Linked DNA regions of Pelodiscus sinensis. The protein of the gene in region 2 purifies or fractionates together with the protein of the main gene of each other region. This does not show direct contact. Links are inferred from orthologs where the notes say so. Each region holds a gene or a part of one and is shown on either strand. Other genes may lie near its edges.

Region 1 (11,726 bases), about 910 kb from region 2:
ATTGTGCATGCGTGTTCTACTAACCGAAGAGTATTTTGCCAGTGTCAAAAGGATAATCTGAGAAAGTAAATAGCTTTCTTGTTGCTTAGAGATTAGTGTTTTGCGACTTCACAGCAGTATTGTCCTTCAGACCTTCTTAATTAAAAAAGAGAACCGTATACGTCTGCTTGCTTGCTTCTTCATCTCCGTATTGTTAAAAGTATTGCCACATACCTGTAAACTTGCATGAGATTATAGAGCACAGAAGGGGGCAGTGGGTAGGGATGGAAAGCACAAACAAATAGTTTACAAGCCCAACAATCGGTTTTTTTCTCTTTCTCTCTCGTAAGCAACCCCCGGCAAAGGCGACAGCGATCTTTGGAAGGGCAGAGGAGAGGGAGCGAGGAGTTATGTACAGAGGGGGGGGGGGGGGGGTCGCTCCGCTTTGCAGGCGCTCCTGGTTTCGAACAACGTACCCACGGCGTGTGAACACAACAAGAAAGTAACAGTCCTTACGCGGGAAGCGCGCGGGAATGGGACAGTTTGGTTCCCGGGCTGGCGAGGGGGAGACTCGGACTCGCCCCGCGAGGTGGGCCGAGCGGAGCTAAGAAGTGTTTAGCACGGGTCTGGAATACACACCTTGATAGTAGGAAGGCTCCAAAGCGGAGGGCTCAATGCTACTCCTCCCGGCCATGGAGGCGCTGCCCAGGGGCAGCCCGCCCGGGATGCCAGCCCCGTAAGAAGAGTATTGCAGCGCCTGCTCGTAGGCTTTGAAGTCCAGCTTGTGCTGCTGTTCCGAGGAGGACATGAGGTTGTTGATAGAAAAGGGGTGGTTGAAGGAATAATGGGGGTCGCCTTTGAGGTGGAGCGGGGGCTCATGGGCTAGGGAGTGCGGCGGGTGCTGGACAGGCGCCAGGGAGGGCACGGAGCTGAGGGTGGAGGACGCCGCGGAAGCCGAGGTCTTAAGCTCAGTACTCGCTCCAGTGTGGTCCATGGCGTGGGGGCTGGCGGCGGGGTTGGGGTTGGGGATGGAGCTGGCGGACTCTAGCGGGGCGGGTTTCGAGTGAGCCCGGTGTAAAGGGGAGTTGGAGCCGGACTGGGAGGCGCCGGGGGGCTCTTTCCTGCCCTCCGCGCTGGCTTTGTTGCTCGCCTGCTTCTCGCACTTGAAGCGCTTCTGCCGGCGCAGGTAGCAGCCGTTTTCAAACATGTTGCCCGAGTCGGGGTGCAGGGTCCAGTAGGAGCCTTTGCCGGGCTTGTCGGGCGAGCGGGCCACCTTGACGAAGCAGTCGTTGAAGGAGAGCGAGTGGCGGATGGAGTTCTGCCAGCGCTGCTGGTTCTGCCGGTAGTAGGGGAACAGGTCCATGATCCACTGGTAGATCTCGCTCAGCGTCAGCATCTTGCTGGGCGCCTGCTGAATGGCCATTGTAATCAGCGAGATGTAGGAGTACGGCGGCTTGGCGTGCGGGTAGCTTCGCTTGAAGGTCTTGGTGTCCCGGCTCCGCGAGAGGTTGGACTGGGCGTAGGCCATGGGACTCATGCAGGGGTTCATGCTGGCGTACGGGCTCAGGCCATTCATGGAGGCTTGCTGGGCGGACATGGCGTTCATGCCGGTGGGGCTAAGCGCCGTCCCCATGGCCGCCACCCCTGCCGTCATGCTGTTCATGGCGCTGCTGGAGCCCGCCGACATGCCTGCCATGGCGCCGGGGCTCAGGCCGGCCCCAAGCCCCGGGTTGGCGTAGGACATGTTAAAGGAGCTGGATGTCATGTTGCCGCTCGTGGTCATGGTGTTCATGCTCATGTAGGTGTTCATGGTGTTCATAGAGCCCAGGCCGGAGTTCATGTTGCTGACGGGAACTGAGGAATAGGCCTAGACAGGGACACAAGATGAAGAGAGGCGGTGAGCACGAGAGAAGGACACGAACCACTTTTATGAAAGCGAATCCCCGGAGTCCCTTGCACAAGAGGGGAAACGTCTCCCGGCCTTACACCGAGCAGTAACGTCGCCTGACCTCCAGGAAGTTACCACGGCCGTTCTGGAGGCGATCTACCTCCAGCCTATTTACAAATACAAAGTGATAATATATACACCTCTGATGTATCTTACAAACCTCCAGCCAACATGAACACCTTTTTGCCTTTATAGTGTGTCTATTACTATACTACGGAAACTGCTAATTTTATTCTCCGCTGTTTCATGCAGACGGTAGCAGGGTGAGAAAGCTAAATATTTTATTCAGTACTTATTTGGAAAAAGCGCCTGTATTTGTATCTCCGGCGACTGATGCAGCATGCACTTATCTTACTAAGTCACGCTAAAAGTACAATCTCACCTTTTCATATCAAAACAAGTCATGCACACACCATGCTTACAAATAATGTAAAGCGATTGTCTAAAACCAGTTACATGTTCCTCTTATTTCTCCCCATATTCTTAATGTTTGATTAGCTAATAAAAACCTAATACAAAAATATGAACAAACTTGTGCGTTTTCTGATTAAATTTTGGACAAGGCAGAATTAAATTGTCTAGGTTTTCCTACAAAGCATCATCATACATATGGCTGCCACGTATTTGATTTGTTTTTGTTAAACAAACTAATAATATACCATTAAAAGAAATTCAGCTATTCCCCCGTTTAGACCATATTTTATTTATAAATCTGAGAGACAGCACGTGGACCGTTTTGTTCAATATCTGTGTCACATTATTTAACCTAACATCAAAAAACATTTCCCAAAATATATATACGCTAAATTCTATATTGTTTCCTTATGATTTTTTATAATCTTCTAATGTGCAATAAAAATACGATTGAGACACATTTCTGAACTATTATAAAATATATCACCAAAATTACTAAAGGAATATAAAGCAATAATACATCTTAATTGGATAGAAATAAGGTCAAGGCCTTTCTCGTTCATTTACAATTTAGAGTGAACAAATAGAATTCTGCTAAGTAAAAGCTATGTTTAATTATTATTGATGTACTGTAGAATTTGCAGCTCCTTATTATAAGCAATCATGCCGTTTGTCTCCTAAAATCCTGGTTTTATTTTATATTGAGATAATTATTTCACGGAACAGTTTAAAACAAGAAGGCGTTTCCCTTACAAAAATCTATGCAGTGTATATATTATAGTAGCAAATAAGGACAAGCAATTGTCGCTAACATAGTAATAGGAAGGCTCCCAAAACTTTATGGTAGGGAATATTAAATACAGAAAAGCTAAATATGGTTTTCATCTGCCCCTTCAACATTAAAAAATAAGTGTATGGGAACACCCATGCACCCACTGTTCCTATATGTGTGCGCAAATATTTAGTATATATATATCCCGCATCTTAACCCTACGCATTTACAATTCTACTATGAAGTGTCTCCTTTCTGCGTACTAATCTGTGCATAACTTTGGATATTCTCTCTGTTACTTGTTTAATGCTAAGTGTGTTGTTTCTCACAAATATTCCAATGTGAGCTAAACGGTCACATCCACAAATGTGCAAACAGCAATCCCTGTTGGGTTTCAATCCATATTCCAAGGGGAGGCAATTCACTCCGTATTGGTGCTTTATTTGCCCTCTATCATTGTCCATTTGCTTATGTTTGATCTTTTCTTTCTGTTCCTTCTGAGCATATTGTAAAAACAAGAATAACATGGAAATGCGACGGGGATGGAGAAAGAGACAGGTTCCCCCGGGCCCGCCTGAGGAGACTCTCAGCAGCGCCACCCTCCGGTCCCAGGAAGAAGCACTGCCATGTTTCAAAAATCTTGTTGCAAAGGACAAACGACTGGTTATTTTGCCCAGTAAAGCACCAGAATTAACAGGTGAGGCCGTAGGAAGCTGTGGGGAAAGGCCTTAAAACCGAAACTCGCCCACGGCGGGGGAAGGCGCTAGTATTTGCCAAGGATTTTTGCAACTCGTGGCCCTCACACCGTGCACCATCTGGAGAGCCCTGGGCTGCGGGAGCGAGGGCTCAGGCACAGTCCTCTGCGCCAAGCCGAGAGTTTACGGGGCGCTTTTGTGTGTGTGTGCAAAAGTACAAATGACGCCTCTTACACGAGCTCGATCCCCCTCCCCCGCACTCCCACTCACTGCAAGCACAAGCAGCGGCCCCGTTTTCACGGAAGCGCCATTGGGTTGAGGGAAACCCTGGCGATTTCTTTATTGCTTGGCCGGCTTCAGTGGAAAAGGCACGTCTGCACTGGCAGGATCTGGAGTGCAACCCTCTTCCCCATATTGTTACACACACTCCAGCCCTCCCTCCTCCCCCTGCGCCAGCTCCAGCGGCTCCGGGGCAGCAAACAAGCGAGCTCCTTGGATTCACTCACCTCCTGCGTGTCGGTGTAGTAGCTGCTCCAGTCGTTAGTTTCATGCCCTTCCATTTTCACAGTCCCTAACATCATGGAGCCAACCTGCCCGGTGTAACCATCCAGCCTCTCTCCCAGCCACAGGCAGCAGGAAAGGGAGCGTGACAGCCCCAAACTAGCAGGAAGCCAAATCTCGGGGGGAGGGGGGAAGGAGGAGGGGTTGAGCTGTGGTCTACAATCAGCCAAAAAAGAGGCAGGCAGCGGTGTGGGGCGAGACACTTGAGAAAGTGAGGAAGTGCCGGCTGGGATGTGAGTGGAGTTGAGCTGATGTGGATCTTACGTCGCAGAAGTGCCCACCTCCTCCTCCTCCTCTCCCCATTTGTCCGCCGCACAAAGACGTTCGCACCTACAAAGCCGGAGATGCACCTGCAAACAAGGCAGTTCCACTCGCTTGCAACTCCCCCGGGGCGTCACTTTATTTGCAAAGCAGTGTAATTGGTTTAAGCTACGGGGAAAGAAGGAGAGACAGAGGTGGGAGGAGGGAGGGGGGAGAAAGAGTAGGAAAGGAAAATACCCTCTTTTCAAATGGCCAGTAGAAATGCTAGCAGGGATCGCTGGAAATTACACGAAGACGATAAGGAAGGGCAACCCCCGCTGTTTGTATAGAATTCAAAAGGCCACCCAGCCTCCGAACTCGGAGATTTGGGAGCCGTATTTACTAAAGTGCAGTAGATGTTCATTTAACGTGGCGACCGGCATTTCAAAGTATTCAAAGTAGCCAACATACACCCAAGATATGAGAACTAGTCTTAAGATTATACAGCACTTTTCACCTTCCTCTCCCCCCCCCCCCACTCACCAAAGCAAATAACTTTGGCGCTTCCAATTTCAATCTATGTTCTCTGCCATATGTTTCCAAAATTCTATTGACATGTTCATGGGCTAAGACCAGTCCATTCCTCTATACAAGGCTTCTATGTAGCTGTAAGTTTTATTTTTCTCTTTTGCTGTTTCTTACGTTCAGAAATCATGCCATGTGAGTCACAGCGGTGAGGCATGACGTTAAGCCACCCAATAAACACGAACACCGGATTGAATGCGGATCCACTGATATTAACCTATATGTGACAAACATCAGGTGAGTCACTGAAACCATTTTCTATCCTTGTTATAGAAAGTATTCATCCCATAAGCTTGCTTGGAAATAGTCACCCAGCCACAGTGATAATAATAAGCAGCGGATGCCTGACTAGTAACTTTAATTGTGCATTACTCTGATTTCTCTCAAGAAATGGGGGTGCCTCACAATGGTCATATTTGGCTAAAAGTTGAAATTGGTCAGTAACAACAAACAAAACTACACTGAGCAAAACTCTTGGGCAATCTACCCCGCTCTTGCAGGGGAGGGGAACTAAGATATCATTTTAAATTTCCACCTTTTGTGATTCTCTGATCTGATGTCAAGATCGTAGACACGTCTTTGGGTTTCTTAGCAACATCCTTTATGTTTGTCCCGATGACAGAACTTGTATTACTTCGTAGTAAAAAGCTTTCGGGGGAGTTTAAGGGAAGGAGAATAAACCACCTTACAATTCTTGGGCATTTGAAAATCGATGTGATACGAATCGTAACAAACATTAAAAATACACTAGTGAACTGAATTTCTGTACATGGTGTTTATCAGATGGGACATACACAACGGCTTTTAGTTGCTTCCTCGTTTAATTGTCCTTGTGGGTTTTTTTACTAATAGTGTGACAAATTCTTGTGCATCACAAATTAAGCACGTTTCACATTAAAGTCTCTCAGAATAAATTAACATTATAATACACATAGTCTCACATATAATATCTCTGCTTTGAGAAATATGTTTTAACTTGTCTCGTAAACGCGTCCTTTGTTATCCATATCTTTGTTCTTTTTCTTCCCCTTTTTTTCTTTAAATCTGGCAACAGAGTTAAGTTAAATCTTCGAAACAAACAAAACTATGAAATCAGCAGGCGAGAACAAGGGAGGAAAACGTGCCGTTAAAGAAACAAAAGGATAAAAGCACTGGATTACAATCCGCTTTTTAAAACGGTCACACTGTAAATAAAAGATTTATCTTGAAACAAAATCCACATAGAAGGTATTAATAGACAACATAATCAAAGAATGCAGCATCTATCTATCTATCTATCTATCTATCTATCTATCTATCTATCTATCTATCTATCTATCTATCTATCTATCTATCTATCTATGACCTGATCAGTCTATCTATAACACAAATTAGTACTTTTTGAGTCACTTATTTATTTCAATATTTTTGGTTCTGTTTGGACAACATACCAGGTCAAAATATACACGAATGCCCTATGAAACCGTGCGGGGCTCTCAGCAGCAAGGGGTCCTCTGTTTTTCTCGTGATTGTGCCACAAACTATTCTTTGTTTGTGTGAGATAAGCAAGATAGTATCCTATTTTCCGCAGCAATGTAATTCTAGTGAAAACAGCCGCCTAATATATTAGCTCTCATAAGAGATCAGAAACTGTCTCCGCCACATGTCTACTGGATACGTTCGCAAAAATTATATAGAAACGTTATAAGGCAAAGTGTATCAGCTAGCTCAAAAGTCAAGCTGTTTAAAATTACATTCTCTGGCCTTCCAAAAGCCATAGGCAATGATATCAACACACACAACCCACCCTGATTAAAGATTCAGCCCCTTTTTAAAGAGTAGGTTTCCTCTGCTGAAAGGTAATTGTAAGACAATTTTGTTTCACTGAATTTCTACGTGTACAGGAGACTTGTTTGTACAAAGTCACAGCGCCTCCTGTTGTCCAGCTGCTATGCCAAACTCACATACCTGTTTTACACACAGCTACTGGGTACAATGCCACATGAATAGCTGCAGTTTATAATCTTCTTACAACAGTTTTCACTTACTTAGACAAATCAAGCTGCCTGAGGCAGAGAATCAGCAGCTACTGGAAATTCCCTCAGTGCCCACTCCTCTTTACAGCACTGCAGCCTGCTGTTTGAGAGACAGATTTTCACTGCAATTTAGCAGTGGATCTAAGCTCGAGGATCGGGGCGGTTATTTGTGCGGGTGTTTGCAAATAGTAAACGGTGGCTTTGGCTGTGAACCGTTTTAAAAAGAGTACATTTCTAGCCAGCTAGCTGCTGAAACTCTATGTAATGTGCCCGACGATCTGGGTGTCAGCCGCATTTGGCCATACTTTGAAGACTCTCTGGGCAGGAAGGAACGGAGACTCTTCTTAAGAAGTGCGTGGGTGACTCCGGATCAAACCTCTTGGGATGAGTCTAGTTGCCGAAGTGTGTTTGCTAGGCTAGAATAGTATAGCCCTGGTTCCAGTATAGTGATCCTTTCTTCTTAGTGCACCACAGCTGATTGTAACTATTTACAATGACTCCCTGAAATCATTTGCTTCAACTGTCATTCGTTTTGCAAAGTCACAGGACGGGGACACAGAACAGAGAGAGCTTCTGCTCTCGGATGTCTAATGGGGACCAGAGTTTCAATTCCGTTTAGTGGTCTCTCTGCATCAGAAACCGGAGGATGTTGCAAATTAGGAAGGGGAAATAGAAAAGAGACCGACGTTAGCTGGAGCTATTATTATAAGAGAGTCACAACTCATCCCACTTACGTGATGAAAAACATACAATTTTTGAAGCCAGTTTGCGCAGTATTTCTGAGTAAGGGTATTCCAGGGAGGCCTCAGGTAGGGAGATAATGACAGTGAACAAAGGGAACGGTGGCAGATTTCTGGAGTATTTGTCATCTCATTTATTGAAGAATAAAAGTAAGGGAAATTAGTGTTTTCTATTCATGCTCACTTACCAAATATGAAAGTTGGATCATCTGGACAGTCCAGCCACCCCAAAGATTCATTCCCCCCTACAAACTGCAACAAACACAGAAACAAAATTATTAAGAATGATTTTTTTAAAAGAGAAAAAACTGTTCATTTTTCCTAGAAAACGTTGCCGTTTAATGTATTTATCTTTGCCTTTGATGCAGACGGGACTTACGGGTAATTCTTCAGGTTTAATTTGAAGTGGCCACTTGGTTTTAGCTAAATAAGATATTTGTATCGACATTAAAGAGATTTTCTGTTAAGGGACATATCGCTGACACGTGAAGCTGTTCCAATCATCTGTCTCTTTCCATGGAGCTAGGGACATTTTTCTTCTGTGTTAATTGTACAGACTTCGTTTCATTTTACTATATACATTTAACTGCAGAACTGCACATAGAACTGGTCATTATCAGAAAGGATTTCCATATTATTAGAGTATTATGGGTGTGTTAAAGTAGGTTGGACTAAACTTGGTGATGGCTATCTATCTATCTATCTATCTATCTATCTATCTATCTATCTATCTATCTATCTATCTATCTATCTATCTATCTAAAGAAGCTTCATTTTTTTTCTACAGAAGAGATGAAGCAGAAACAGGAAAATCCTATTACTCTAATTTCACACAAAACCGCACACCAATGTCAATAAAACAAATAATCCAACGAAAAGCCCGATGTTGTCAGATCGCAGGGTGCAGCACCCGTTTCTTTTAAATACAGGACAGAGACAACACAGATTGTGAAAGCCTGAATCCTCCTTTCTCACTCCCAGCATGTACTTCGATTAATGTAAAGAGCTTCTGATTTCCACGAAGAAACCGGTAAGTACCAAGACGAAATGCAATTTTATGGACGGATCTAGACATAATAGAACCACTTCGGGACTTGGCAGCATTGACTGAAATATAAACAGCGATGAAAGGGCCCAGCATATTTCTGGGGGCAAAATAGATAGCCTCGTGCATTTTAACACCTCTCCTGCCAGCCCAACAACTGGAAGCTCTGTGTTTTGAAAGTATGCCTCTGACGCAGATAGCCATTCTCGATACTGGCTTTGATTTAAGGGTTGAGCTCTCAGTCGCTCAGCAGGAGTTCACGAACAGGTGAGATTTGATAAGGTTGCATTTACTTTCCTCTCTTTTGGGATAAATGTACTTGCCTAGACAGGTAAGAACACTTTATTGGGTCAACAGTGGCTTCTAGTCTTTTCCTCGTGAACTTTTCTTGCCTCGGATTTTGTCAGTCGAGTAGTTTTTCCTTAACTAATGATCTGCCTCGAAATGAAGTGTCTTTCCCCCCTTACTCCTGCTGGTTTTGTTTATCCCGCTAACCTGCAAAAAGAATCGTATTCCTCTTAAAGTAGATTTTAAATGTAGTGTATTGTGAATCACTTACTAAGTGACATATAACGACACTAAAATGGTTCCTGATCCCATCCACACGGTCTGGACTCTTTTTCCTTCTGAATTGACTCCTTTATCTCCTGTGGTGTCTACAGGAAAAAGCCCATTTCAAATAAAACAATGCATTTGAAAAATGAATCTCTATTCAGCTATTCAAATGAATCGATGTTTCTACCTTTAATTTCAATCTAATGCAAGATGCAGGATTAAAGCAGTACTGTTGTCAACTCCCAGACGCTGACAATACAAACAATCTAGTCACTCCTTTAAAGAGGTACTATACAAAAGTAAATGGAGGACAAATTATATGAGAAATTCTACAAAAATGTTAATATTTTTGAAACTATGTGTTATTAATGTTGAGTAATTAACTATACCCAGATCAGGATTCTGGAGAATTGCCAGGAAGTCAATTTATAAATTTGTGTTAATTTATAAAATTAACACAAATGTCACCTAGGAATTCGAGTGTTTTCGCCTCCACCCTTCTCTCCTACCCCCATTTTTTGTCGCGCCAGGTGTGTGACTGATAGATTGTCCGAATGGATCTAGAGTATGTTTTCCTGATAGAGGAAGCAAAGAAACTGTAGCTCAGCCGCACTACAGTTCTTTCCATCAGCTGTACTAGGGGTTCCCGAGATCTTTATTTTGCAAGTTACAGGAGCACCGATAAGTTAATCGCCTACACCTGACTCGATCCTGCTGCTATTGCAGTCAGTGAAAACAGGATCCGGTCCATCAGATTTATGAACTATTGAGGAGGAAGGGGAAAGACCACAACACAGCTAAGAAGGCGCTCAGGATCGGTCCCTAACAACTCCGGATTCTATAATTGCCTGATTATGATAACCGAGCCCTGTTACAAAGTTCTTTTACACAATCACAGGAGATATCGCTCTGTGCATTGTCATAGCGATGCTGCACTGCCAGGATTTTTTGTTGGTTTGTTTTTTTGGTTTTGGTCCCATAATTTGTATTGATGTGATAGAATCCATTCTTTTATGCGTGAGAATACATTTCCTTACATCATTCAATTCCTGCTCTAAAACAGATTAGAAAATATCTGTGCACTAAAACCAGGTAAGGAGGAAAAAATCTTTAAAATTAAAATGACAAATAAATACTGTCCAATCATTGCTTTTGGCCACAAAGACAATTGGATAATGAGAAAATGTATGTTTTCTTTGTTTAAAGCAACATATTTTTGTTAAATAGTTTATAATGCAGGTAAACTATGTAATGCATACTGTAAGTTAATTTTTGTGAATGCTGCTAGATATATACAAGCTGTTTGGATAGTTCAAATTGTCAGGATGCCCACATTTATACATGGTCTGGGGTGGATCATTGAAGTATGGAGACAGACCTATTAAAATATATTGTTTTTTCCCATCAGTGTCAAAAAGAAAGCATTTATTTTGAATGTTGGGTGCAATAGTTATATTATAATTTATGGAATCTATAAAAATAAACATGTAGCTTGTATATTGGTTGCCCTGTACCCATTTTCACCAATCCATTGTTCAAAAACACTTTGTTGACTTTGAAAAGTTACCAGAGTCATAACTGTTTGCAATGTTGCTGTAGCTTTGGTGGTCTCCGGATATTAGAGACAAGGTGAGTGAGATCATAACTTTTATGGACAAGCTTCTGTTGGTGAAAGAGACAAACTTTCACCAAGGAGCTCTGTGGGAGCTGGAAAGATAGTCTGCTTCACCTACAGACAGACTCTGGTCCAGTGAAAGGTATTACCTAACCTTCCTTGTCTCTGGAGTCATAGTAACATACTAGCAGTAGCTAAGTAGTGAATTTAGGTAAAACATACACAAATCCCTATAGTTTCCTACTTGTGGAATCCAACACAAACAACAAACATGACCTTTCAGGGTTTAGGTGGGGCTTTCAGCATAGAAGAAAGGAAGTGAAAAAACTGTTATTGAACTGGATCTTTAGCTCTAACAAGGGACTTGTTAAATTGACAATATATGTAGTTCTCCAGGCAAAAATTTGAATTTCTTGGAGAAAGGTTGACTCAACTTCAAAGGCCATAATAAATCAAATAATTCCATACCACAATGACCACAAGCTGCAGAATGGACTGTGGCTGCAGTCTCATTGAGGGAAGGATGGGCTTGGTAGCTTACATTTTAAGTGACAGGGATAGT
Region 2 (11,726 bases):
GCTTCTTATTCTGACTGCAGGGAACAGAAATATCATTTTGGCTCAGACCTCAAGACTGGAGAGCCTTCTGACTGTATTTCTTTCCGAGACTCCTAGTAGTCAAAGGACGTTCGTTTGAAACAAAAATGCGTCGATACCGAACAGCAAATATGGCGAAGCTCTGATCTTTTTCCAGCCTGCTGTGCCACTGCATCCACACTTCGTAGCACTCAAGCATGAACTCCTATTTACAGCAAGGGGAAAAATACCCTCCGCAAATCTCGTACATCTATAGGCAATGCCAGGGGGGGGAGAAGGAAGTGGAAGGAGGGAATAGCCATTCTTTATTAGATCCCTTTAACTGCAAAATGCATATATGGTGCCCGTGGTCTGGTTTCTATATGCGATCAGAGACATTTGGCAATGTATTTCTGTGCCATGATTTCAAAGATTTTGATCCCGGCTCTGGTTTCTCCCCCACCCCCGCCTTTTTAACTTCCCATTATTCCAGTTCTGCATTGATTAACAAGCGACTGAAAATCGGTGCATGAGAAGAGGCAAGGGTTTGCATAGTAGCCTATATTTTAATTTAGGAAAGCTATACGGTGGGTAAATTCCCGTGAGTCTGCTCAAGAGACATTTTCGATTAAATGTTTTCTAAGTCATTGGAATATCTTGATCTTAATGAAGGCATAACTGGCTGTACAAAGGAGTCTATGATAAAAGGCAATAATACGGTGTCATAAAAAAACGCTATAAATTTGTTAAAGAGGCAGTTTGTTTGCATTTCTCCTGATTGATATGTAAATATAGTTTGAATTGTGTTTGCCTGGTCCCTAGTGCTTTATAAAGAGATGAATTCACTTTTCTGTGGAACAAGCAAACAGACTTTAAACTAAGCCGACATCAGACAAAGTGGAAACGAGTTTATTTAATCGAAACTAAATTTAGTTTAAGAAAGATAAGCCAGTGTACATAATAATCCATTACAGTAATTACACCCACCATCAAATGTGTTTATGAGGTTGTCTGGATACAATAAAATTCATTTATTGCCCAAAGTCTATTATGTTAAGTCTCTAGCTAGTTCCACACTAAACATGCCAGTTTGATTTCTCCATTCCATGAAAATAGTTCTAGGATTTCACAGTTATTCCTAGATCTGCTGGAGTTTTAAAAATTACCTATTTTTGAAGGATTTTAAAATACATTTCAAGAGGGGAGACATGTTGATTTAAACACCGCATTTTCACACTTTAAGCGTGTATTTTAAAATTTGGAGAGAGAATGGAACAAGACCTGCTCATAAATGTATGGCATTAATCATGCACAGATCTCACGCCGATTCTCCTTGGACCAGGACGTAAGCACAGAAGTTTTACACTTAAAAGAAATTCCAGTTTCCCGATGTATTTCTATTCTAATCGACAGCACCGAGCACTCCGTTTTGGGCTCTCTGAATGCTAGTTATAAACTTTAAATTAATGTTCCTAGTAGAGGAAAAGTGACGCGAAAATAGTAACGTTAAAATATGTTCGAGCCCATTTGGTAATCTTCCTCTATCCACTTACGGAATACTATAAAAATGGACAGACTTCAAATTCTCTCTGACACGTGATGTCCTCCAGTTTAAAAGAAGGATCCGATAATCTTTTTAGTCTCTTTCCTTTTTCTTATCCGAGCTCTGAGTAATAGCTTGTCTAAATAGTATGACAGAGCTCTCCGGTGCTGCTACAAAAACTGCAGAGGTGTTTGTTTCCACTCTTGGCTACCTCCTTTCTCGCTCCGTCTCAGATAACAGGAACTGGTTCAGGATTCCTCGGCGTTTCAGAGATCTTTCCATTATGAGATTTATGCCCGCATTTTAATTAAAAAATCGGAGGGAAAATTACTACTAAAAAGGCGATTTGGAGAAAATGACCGTATGAGGTCCTTATGTTGATGGGAAAGACTAACTTTGGATTTCCAGTTTCCAAAAGGAATAATATTGGCCCAAAATCTTGCGAATGAAACTTATTTGTTGATTATTCAGTGGAATATCTACTTTGTCTATTTACCCCGAAGTTAACACTAGCTCTCTTGAACTCCCTATAATGTTTACCTCACTAATAAATGCAGCTATGTTTCTCACCTACACACATACACGCACACACACACACACTTTCTCTTGCCTATTTCTTTACAGCCTAGTCCAGCCACCGGAGCAAAGCACCCGCAGCAAAGTAGCAAGCTAGTTCCTCTGCCTGTTTTGTCAGGATGAAAGGTGCAGGACAAAAGTGATGCAAGTGCGCCTGTGTGTGCACAGATACATTGTATGAAAAAAGTTAATTCAAACTATACGCCGTACACAATAATCTATCATTTTATTTTGATTATAAATAAGGTGACTGTACTTTCCTTAAAATACAAAGTACATAAGAAAACCTGGTAGAAATTATTTTTGCACAAGTTATTAAAACTGGACACGCTTTTTAAAAGGGTTGCATTTTCTAGCCTGTCAGTGCGTTACTCCTTAGTTTGTTTCTAATAACCATACACATTTAACTTCTCTGCTTCTGGACTACTTTCCTTTCTCTGTCAATAGCCATGTGCTCCCTAGCTTGATGTCGGGCTAATGAATTCCGGGGGTCGATTCCTCCATTTGGACTAGAGTAATCTTATCTCTCTCCAAAACATGGGCCTAATCCTGCTTCCCAGTGAAACCAGTGGCCCGAACTCCTGCAAGATTTGAGCCTTTTTGCTTTTGGTGTCAATATTTATTAGCATCCCTATTTGTTTTCTGGGGTGGGGGAGAGGGAGAGATATAAGGGGAAAGCAAAGGAAAATAATAATAATAAGAATATTTGCAATGTGTATAATTTATTAGAAGCTTCTTAGGAACTATATTTAAGCCAAATATCTACATAAGTTTACAACAGAAAGAGGAGACGTGCGGAAATAACAAACTGCCAAAGGATTTACACGGATCGTTCAATGTCCATAAAAAAGGTCGGGTGTGTTTTGGTTTGATTTGGTTGATTGTATTATTTTTCTTTACAACAAAATATACAGGTTACTAAAAACTATGGGTTTAGTCCAACTTTTGACAGCATTATACAGCTACAGGTTCACATCAAAAGTAAGGGGTGGGGGAGAAATGCCAAGCTGTGACGAATCAATATCTCCATCGGCGGGCCCTGGTTGCTGGGATGGGGGGGGGGCTTTCCTTTTGTCTGGGCGACACTAATGGTGTTTTGGGGGAACGCCCACCCCTCCCTCCCGAAAATCTCTATATTTACATGCAAGTTCTATTCGCTGGCAAACTGTACATTTGAAATCCAAGCCTCCGAACCATGGTCATTCATGGTCTCCATTCTGCAACTGCGTCGTGATCTATTTTTTTTAAAAAATACCCATTTCCCAACCTACAAAGTCATTTTCTCTCTCTGCTAGGGGTTCCTCGGAGAACCGCTCGTGAAAAAGTAAAAATAAAAAATAAAATCAAACAAGCGTTTGAACAGGGTAGAGATCTGTGAGACTCGGAGCATCTGAGCTTTTTTCCAAAAAAAAAAAAAAAAATCCTTTCACCAGGTCCTACCGTAGAGCAAGGTAGAGCAGGACATGGCCGTGCCATAGTCAGAACTAGAAGAGTTTAAGTGAGACAAACTGGAGACCTGGCTCTGGAGGGAGGAAGGGCTGGCTGAGTGCTGTCCCAGGTCTGGAGACTGCCCCGCACTGTTTGTCTGGTGGCTCTGATGCTGTCCAAGGCTGTTGCCATTGGTAGCCACCGTGATGGCTGTCGCTGCCTGCTGCTGATGGCTCTGGATCGCTGCCGTTGGCGTGTTGGAGCCCGCTTGACACGGCTTGCCATCCTTTACAAGCACGGGCACCGCCACTCGCCTGGGGGACTGCTGCTGTTGGCAGGCGCTGTTGTCCTGCTGCATCTGCTGCTGCGCGGCTTTGTCTTTGGCCTGGCGTTTCATCTTGTAGCGGTGGTTCTGGAACCAGATCTTGACCTGAGTCGGCGTGAGATGGATCATGCTGGCCAAATGCTCTCGCTCCGGAGCTGAGAGGTATTTCTGCTGCTTGAAGCGTCTCTCCAGCTCGTAAACCTGGGCCTGGGAGAAAAGGACCCTGCGTTTCCTCCGTGGCGTGCTCTGGAGAGGGGCCATGCTCTTGCTAACGTCTCCAAGTGAGCTCAGGCTCCCCATGCCGCCCATGTTCATTCCAGAAGACGGCCCCATAAAGCGGGATACTAAAACCAAGAAAATCACACATTTTAAGCTACACGGTTAGAGGCCCGGCGCTGCCTGGACGAGAAACGCGTGTAGATTGTCGGCTCCCCAGCCAAGATCCTCTCCCCGATCAAACACCTGCCCATTACCAAGCTCTTTGAAACCCACCTAGCCCTCCACCGAGCCAGGCAGGGCTGTATAGACTGTGTTACTAGCATGAGGCTATTGTGATAACGATTTGCGGGGAGCAAAATCTTTGCAAATAACTGAACCCCACCGCCCATACACACACACGGGCTCTGTGGGTAGCCAAGAGCCGGACCAGGGGAACGAAACAAAAGCAGCGCCTAGGCACACACACTAGCTAGGGCAAGTTTCCATCTCCAAACCGGTATTACGCCCCTTCCGAGCCACGCTAGGTCAGGAGGAAACATCGGAAACCCCCTGGCTCCGCAGAGTTGGAGTAAGCGAATACATGTCAGTTCCCGCTTCCAGCATGCGGCGTGCCCCCCGCGTTAAGCAAGCTTGTTGGGGGAGCTGAGGCACAATTCGATGCGTCGGTTTCACTGCGAATTATTCGGGGCTTAGGGTGGAAGGGCTTGGAATGTATTGAAAGCGCCTCTTGCGCGTATGGCAATGTTTCCCGTTCGCTGTCGCGCTGTACAGCAGCAGGTTTGGGAAGAGACATCCCCCCCTCCCCAGGATACAGCCGCCCAAAGCTCGCCTCGCCTGCAGTAAAATCGCTCCGATCGCGGGGCATTTCTCCCGTCGGTTCTCCTGCGGCAAGGCAAGTGGCTCGCTAGGCTCCTACAGCGAGCCGGGGCAGATTTGGGAAGCGGGAGACAGGCGAAGAGCGGACAGAACCGGGGCTTTGGGAGCAAAACCACAAAAAATACCGATCGTGCGGCTCCTCGCTAGCCCTGCCGCTCCCACCCTTTGGGCTGACCCCATTCCGACTTCAAGCCACTCTCCCCCCTTGCCTTCCGCCCCCCCTCCCAACCCCGCACCCGACACGGCTTCTCCAAGTGGCTACACTGGGGCAGGCTTGCTCCCGGAGGTGCGCGGAAAGTTTCCCCCGCGGGTACCGGGGCTCACTTACTTGTAGAGAAGCGGGGATCAGGGTTGGCCCCATACCATCCCGTGGCTGAAGCGCTGTTCCTCATGGTCTCCTGGTAGGGTGGCAGTTCCCCCATGTTGCCTAGGTTGCCGTTGCAGTAGCCCCCCATCGTGGTATGGGAGAGTTGGGGGACGCCTGCCGCTGTCATATGGTAGGCAGCAGTCACTGTCCCGTTGTGGCCCATGGGGTGCTGCTGCATCGTTGGCTGAGAAACCTGAGTCTGCCTGTAGGCTGCCAAGGGAGCCCCCAAGTTGCTACCCTCCATGCCCACTTTCTTGTAGCTTTCCTCCAAGGGACTCAAGATGTCAGACACTGAGAAAGGAGTCGTATGCTTTGGGCTCATCGACATGATTCGGCGGCTGAAAAAAAAGGGGGAAGGGGAGGCAAATCTTTTTTGCCAAATATTCTGGTGTTGCCTTAACGCCGATCTTGTTGGATGTACACGTAACCGAGTGGACGAAGTCCGCCTTAATTGGATTGAGTGGAGGCTCAGGGCTGCCTTTCGTTTGTTTTAGCCAGACGCCAGGTTTTAGGCTGCCACCAGAGGCGGGGCATAGGCACTAAAGCAACAAGACAATAGAAGCCTACATCTTGCCCAAGATAATTAGCTTACATGCTGATGACAAGGTAAACACCTTTAAGTTTTACTTGTCAGGGTTTTAATGTCTTCTTTAAGCCGCCGTGAGCACAAGTAATTTTATTTTATTCTTCTGGGGGTTGATGGGTGGGGAATTGAATGTAATTTTACAACGCAAATTTGCTGCGTTAAAGAGAAATGATTTATAATTCTAGCCCCACTCCTAACACTATAGTCGCAGCCTTTGTGAGAGCTGGATCTATAGAGTTTAACATTATGGAACAAAGGGATTTAGTTCCCCTCTCTCCCCACTAAGTTAGATGTTAAAGAAACATTGAAGAGACAAATATCTCCTCGAATAGTTTGAGGATCCAGCTTTCGTATTTGAGCACCGTTTCCAACATGGGGCATTACACAAGGCGAAAGGGTCCTAGAGATGTCCAGCACATTGTCAGGTATGAAAGCTGGCTAGTGAACAGCACCTGCCTTGTAACCACGCTGCAAAGGAGGTTTCTCTATAGCATACATGAGAGTAACTCCTAAACTGCAACACTACAACCAGCGTCTCGTTTCTGCACATGAAACCGTAAAGATCGTGTTGCCTACTTTGCAGAGGGAAGCTTGCGAGGGTGACAGGCAGTTGAAAAATACCCTAAACCAAAGTGTCATTCTTTATTTTCTAAGAGGAGCCGTGTCAGAAGCCCCTGATAGACCCCTTAATCTGAAGATTTTTTTAAAGCTTTATTTAGGACTCAAGGAAGTTAGGGATGGAAAAGACCCATTAACTCATCTAGCCCCTCACCCTGCCAACTAAGATTTGGTTCCTTGAATTTTCTAGTATTTTGCCCAGTGTAGTTTTAAATGAATGCAGACTTCATTAATAGTTATACATGTCTATGTGGCGAATAGTTAACGTGACTCAGGTTATTATATCAGATTATTATAATGTGACTCAGGCTAAGACTTTGAAGGAATTTTCCAAATTGTACAGCAACTACAAACTACACATTTCAGTGTCTCTCCTGAACTCAACGAAAACCCTTCCATGAATTTTAACACAATGGCCCACAGGGTTGGGAGCTAATTTAATAAAGGGATTATCTGAATAGTAAGAAAATTGCAGCAATGGTGCAGTTAACCTAGTGACTTTGAAGCATCAAATCACTATTTTATAATTGCACTTGTAAATATGTTTGCACTCCGCTTGTTCCTGCTTAAAAATGCAAAAGTGCACTTGCTACCCGGGAATAACAAAATATCTTTGTCTAAAGTGGCAGCATAAATGGCCAGTCGCTTTGTGACTGTGCTTGATATTAGTACATAAGGATCATTTTACTTCAATTGGGAGACTCATTCAGTAGGCAAGAAACCGTTTAGGAGAAAGTAGGTCCCCGTATGAGAATTAACATCCTTCAAGTGTAAGCCGGAGCCTTGATTATACTGTAGAGCTCTGCAAGAGGTGAGCTTTTCTGCACAAATATAATCGGTGGAACTTTTCTGCAGTCAGCTCCTCAGTTCCTCTGCCTCAGTAGGCATCAGGTTATCTCCAGCCTTGATACCGAAATGGGTGTGTGTTGAGAATCCGTTGTGTCGCCCATCACAAATCGGAATCAAGGCAGGACAACTTTTGATTAGAAATGCATCTGGTTTGGAGACGTCCTGTTTTCGTCGCCACGTCTTTAGCTCTTTTCTAATTACGTGGAAGATTTCCTTTCATGGCTTTGCCAGAGGATAACTGAATTGATCTGTCTTTTTTATTTCACATGTATGTCAATACTTTCGTGGAGGAAGATGTTCAGTTACAAATTCGAAGCTTTTCCCCCGGGTTATCCACAAACATTTCGTGCCTATTTTATTACCTTAGAAAAGGATCAAAACATAAAAAAAAGTAGATGGACAAATGCTAGTTCTGCAAGTAAGCAGGCACTAATCATATCTTTTGAAAGGAATTTACACTAAATTATACCCGATTTCCCAAACAGCTCAGCGATGAATCTCAATGTACTCATTGCAAAAAGTTATGGTCGGTGGTAGGGGAAAGCGATGTTTTCTATTCAGAATATTACCTATACATACGGCACGTCTAAAAATCCCCTGTATTGTGCCTTTCCTACGAAATATCACTGTATCTTCTCGAGTAGTGCCTAATGGCCCGCGGGCGCCCTATCCCATGATCATTCTGCACATACACCAGACTACTGGCTTTGGGGGCATATGCGCTTTTTGAATGTGTTGAAATGATTCCCGTTTCAGAACTTTTTGTGGTTAATCATTCTTATTTGTCCCTCCCCCCCACTGAATGCACCTCGAATGGCCTCCAAATATCCCTCAGTTGGATTAAGCTGATCACTCCAGAGCTGCGCTGGATCATAGAAGGGGAAGTCAATGTGATTGCTACACCTGTCCCGAGTCCCTGATACGGACGGAGGTCAAAGGTGTTGTCACTTAGCATACACTCCTCGCCATTGATTATTTCACAGGATCATAAGACTTGCATACACTTTTCAGCAAAAAGAAGTTATCCTAGTGGAATGCTAACACAGACGCCGCTTTCCCCACGTTAATTACAGCAAGGTAGTTCATCCTCCTCTCTAACTACCGGGAAAGTTTTGTGTTTGTTTTTAAACCGCCTTTCCGACCTCCTTTTGAGAGCGCTGCCTTCAGAGCAATTGAAGTCCAGCCTGTCTGAGCTCTCAGGTCTGAGCCTACCTAACTGCCTGGCCGCAGTGTGTTCTTTTACCTGGTGCTGCTGTTTGCTAAAGCGCTTGAGTTAAAAGGAAATGCTCAGGGGGAGGAGGAGGCAGAAGAAAGCTGAAATGCATTTCGCCTGTTGGAAGCATATGCATGAGAATGCCACCGTCTTCACCCCGTGTTTGCAGAATGCTTTATTCTCCTCTCGGCGGCTACACGGACGGTTCTTCAATAGCTTCTGACCCTACACAATCCGTTTGATAACACTCGAGATGCGGAAGAATGGGGGACTTTGTCAATCAAACGGTGCCAATCCCAATGCAAACGGTGCCACCGAAACCACAGAGCCTTTCCTCATCAACTGGATTGCGGGGGTTGGGAACTCAAGGAGCAGCTTTTTAAAGTGTGCCCGGGGCTCTCCACATTTCACAATGTCTTTTTAAAATACGTGCTAGCGCGCCTCCCAAATGGGAATAAGATGAACTAGTCTAGGCAGACTCAACCTGGGGGGAGAGGGGAAGGGACAGAATTGCCCCTACATTTATTTCTCTGGATGTGGGAAGGGGAACAATTAATTTCTGTGCTTTTCGGCGTCTCGTTTAACAGATAAAGTGTCTCTCACTCTTTTGAACATTTAAGACGAAAATGGATCGCTTTGCAGTTGGTTTTCCTGCTCAAGCGGCGTCCGCGTAGAAACAGAGAAAAAACTAAGGAGCCGATTCAGCAAAGTATTCAAGTTTCAAGGGCAATCCTCGCGTGCTTAACATTAAGCATGTGCTCAAATACTTTGGTGGATCCGTCTCAAACTAGTACCACTCTTCCAACAGAAAGGGTGCACAACAATTTCCAGACAGGGTGCTTGTTTCTTCACCACGGGTTTTGAAATCAGAACTTGAGAAAGTCAGAGCTTAAGTCCAAGCTGCTGGTCCCAGCAGAGTATATTGCTGTCGGTGTGAAGGCAATCCAATTTACCCTTTGGTTTACCCCTAATCCAATTTCCCCACCTGTTAGTGAATGAGAGATGGCAGCGTTGTACCTGCCCGCCTTCTGTGAAGTTGCGTTTGCCTTTGGAAGGCGCTTTACGTTTTTCATCAAGAGCTACATTCATTGCTTAGACGTGATTAACTTTGGTAGGAGAGTCCAGAGCCAATGCATGAGCAAGTAGAACAATTTTGCTCTCATAGGTAACATTCTCTGCAGACGAATAAAAATAATTACTCCTAGAACATACATAGTAGATGGACATTTGAAACCACTGCCGATATAGCGCGGGGCGGTGTAATGGAATGTTAGCTATCTAAAGACAATTCAGCTGCAGTGTTACCTTTCACGCTAATAATTTGGTGCCATTAACAAGCCTGGTTTAGCTTCAGAGAGTTAATAAGAAAGGGAAGATCCAGAACTAGTCTTTGGGGGCAGCTTCCTGTTAATATATTGTCTATTCATTGAATTCTCCTCCCCAGCCCAAATATCTGAGCAACTTAAATATTCAGAGGGGTAGCCCCGTTAGTCTGTAACAGGAAAACTTAAAACAAAAAAACCAAAATAGTATTTGTTGTTTTTCAACTTAAATATGTACAGCAGGAAATAGAAGCAGGAATAGTTTAAACAGCATAGTTGAATCATGCTAGGATACTTCCACAGACGTATTCTTAGGTTTCAGTCAGCTACTGTTGAAAGGTAAGAGGAATGGGTGTCCCTGCAAGCAAAGGCTATTTTCCACACATACGCCTTGTAAATGCCCTCTTAAAATCTATTGCCCTGATGGGAGGAACTGTCGTTAGGGGGGGGAAAAATCTATATTCCTTCCGTAGACAGCTCCCACTCCATGGCGTACTTCAGTGAGGCAGGAGCAGGGTGGAAGTGAAGGGTTTTGAGGACTAAGGAAATGAAAAGGAAAGCCCCCCACACTTCTCCCTCTCAGGACTGGAGGCTGCTTTCTGAGCCTGGACCCTATGATGACTCTTGGGGGCAGGTTCCGGATTTCCAAAGCTACTCTGACCATGTGGAGAGTCCCCTTTGGCCCCATCCCACAGGCTGATCTTGCGCCGCGCTCCTTAGAGCGCAGTGTTGGTACAGAATTGCCTTAGCCTCCACCTCGGCTTCAGAACGCTTCTCTCGTCACCCCCGCCCAGAGCCCTGACTCTGCTCCTGCCAGGCCCACAGCCCGCTGTGAGGTGCCATTAGCTATTGCAGAGGGCAGCCTCCTCTGCTCTGGGATGGATTTGGCCTGGGTGCCGCATTGCCCCTTGGGTAGGAAATGCACCCAGGAGACATGGACAGCCCCTTGGCTGAGGGGAGATTAACCTCTGGCGAAGGGCAGATGGGGGTGGAGAGAGGGAGACATGCCAGCCCAGAATCAGGGGCTGAATGGGAGCCCTTTGCAGGCTGGCAGATCAGCCCTTCGTGCCCCAGGAAGGAAAGCTTTGGCAAGTTAGGGAGGGTGGGGAGCTAGCGTCCGTGGAGGATTTTATTACAAACAATTGTATTTGGGAACTCAGCTCAGAAAAACAAAACTATTTCCCCATACCCGATAACTGCCACTCCTACCCATTTCCACCCGCCTCATTTCAAATGCCAGCACTGGTGGGAGCCACCCAGCAGCCCTGCATCTGGAAAGCAATAGATCTGGAGCAGCGGCCCCCTCCTCCCAACACCTGACCAGTAGTGTTAATTCGATTTGTTAGCCCACTAAAGATTTTAGAGCCGCTGAGGCTTAACATTCTGGAGTACAAAACTTCCCAGACCCGCAGAGCAAAAGCTCCCAAATGGATTCTGTCTGGGCAGCTAGGTATAGGATGAAGCCGAGGGAGAAAGTTGCCAGTAGGTATATATTTGCTTTAAGATAATGGTGAATGAAAGAGAGTCGGCGTCGCATCTCGGTGTACTTGTGTAGCTGCGTGTCTGTGTTTTGGTGCCAGCTCTCCACTGCTTGTAATTAAACTTGTGGCTTTGGAGGGAAATGGGGAAGGGGAAGAGAGCTTGTCTGGTTGACTGCTTAAAACATTTTTTCAGGACTCAGTGGCTAAACTTCTTCGTCCTGCTCGGGCAAATAGTTGCATCGGGAATAATGTGAGCAGGTTTCGAGTTTGTAATTCAAAAAAGCTATTTTCTTTGCTTCACTTACCGAAAATATTTACCTTCAAAT

Evidence for each region.
Region 1: the proteins of NKX2-1 (region 2) and FOXA1 purify together in Homo sapiens (affinity purification with western blotting; 3 studies listed by BioGRID and IntAct, with this or other methods). This does not show direct contact. The link is inferred for Pelodiscus sinensis from reciprocal best matches to the Homo sapiens genes NKX2-1 and FOXA1.

The regions. Positions count from the first base shown.
Region 1 is NC_134714.1:46,255,348-46,267,073, reverse strand, and holds the start of FOXA1 (hepatocyte nuclear factor 3-alpha), read right to left. Parts: upstream 4,729-11,726; 5' UTR 4,390-4,728; coding exon 4,315-4,389; intron 3,811-4,314; exon of another isoform or gene 1,859-3,810; intron 1,847-1,858; coding exon 584-1,846; 3' UTR 1-583. UniProt on the Homo sapiens protein: Transcription factor that is involved in embryonic development, establishment of tissue-specific gene expression and regulation of gene expression in differentiated tissues.
Region 2 is NC_134714.1:47,163,990-47,175,715, reverse strand, and holds NKX2-1 (homeobox protein Nkx-2.1), read right to left. Parts: upstream 5,731-11,726; 5' UTR 5,660-5,730; coding exon 5,293-5,659; intron 4,214-5,292; coding exon 3,543-4,213; 3' UTR 3,483-3,542; downstream 1-3,482. UniProt on the Homo sapiens protein: Transcription factor that binds and activates the promoter of thyroid specific genes such as thyroglobulin, thyroperoxidase, and thyrotropin receptor. Crucial in the maintenance of the thyroid differentiation phenotype.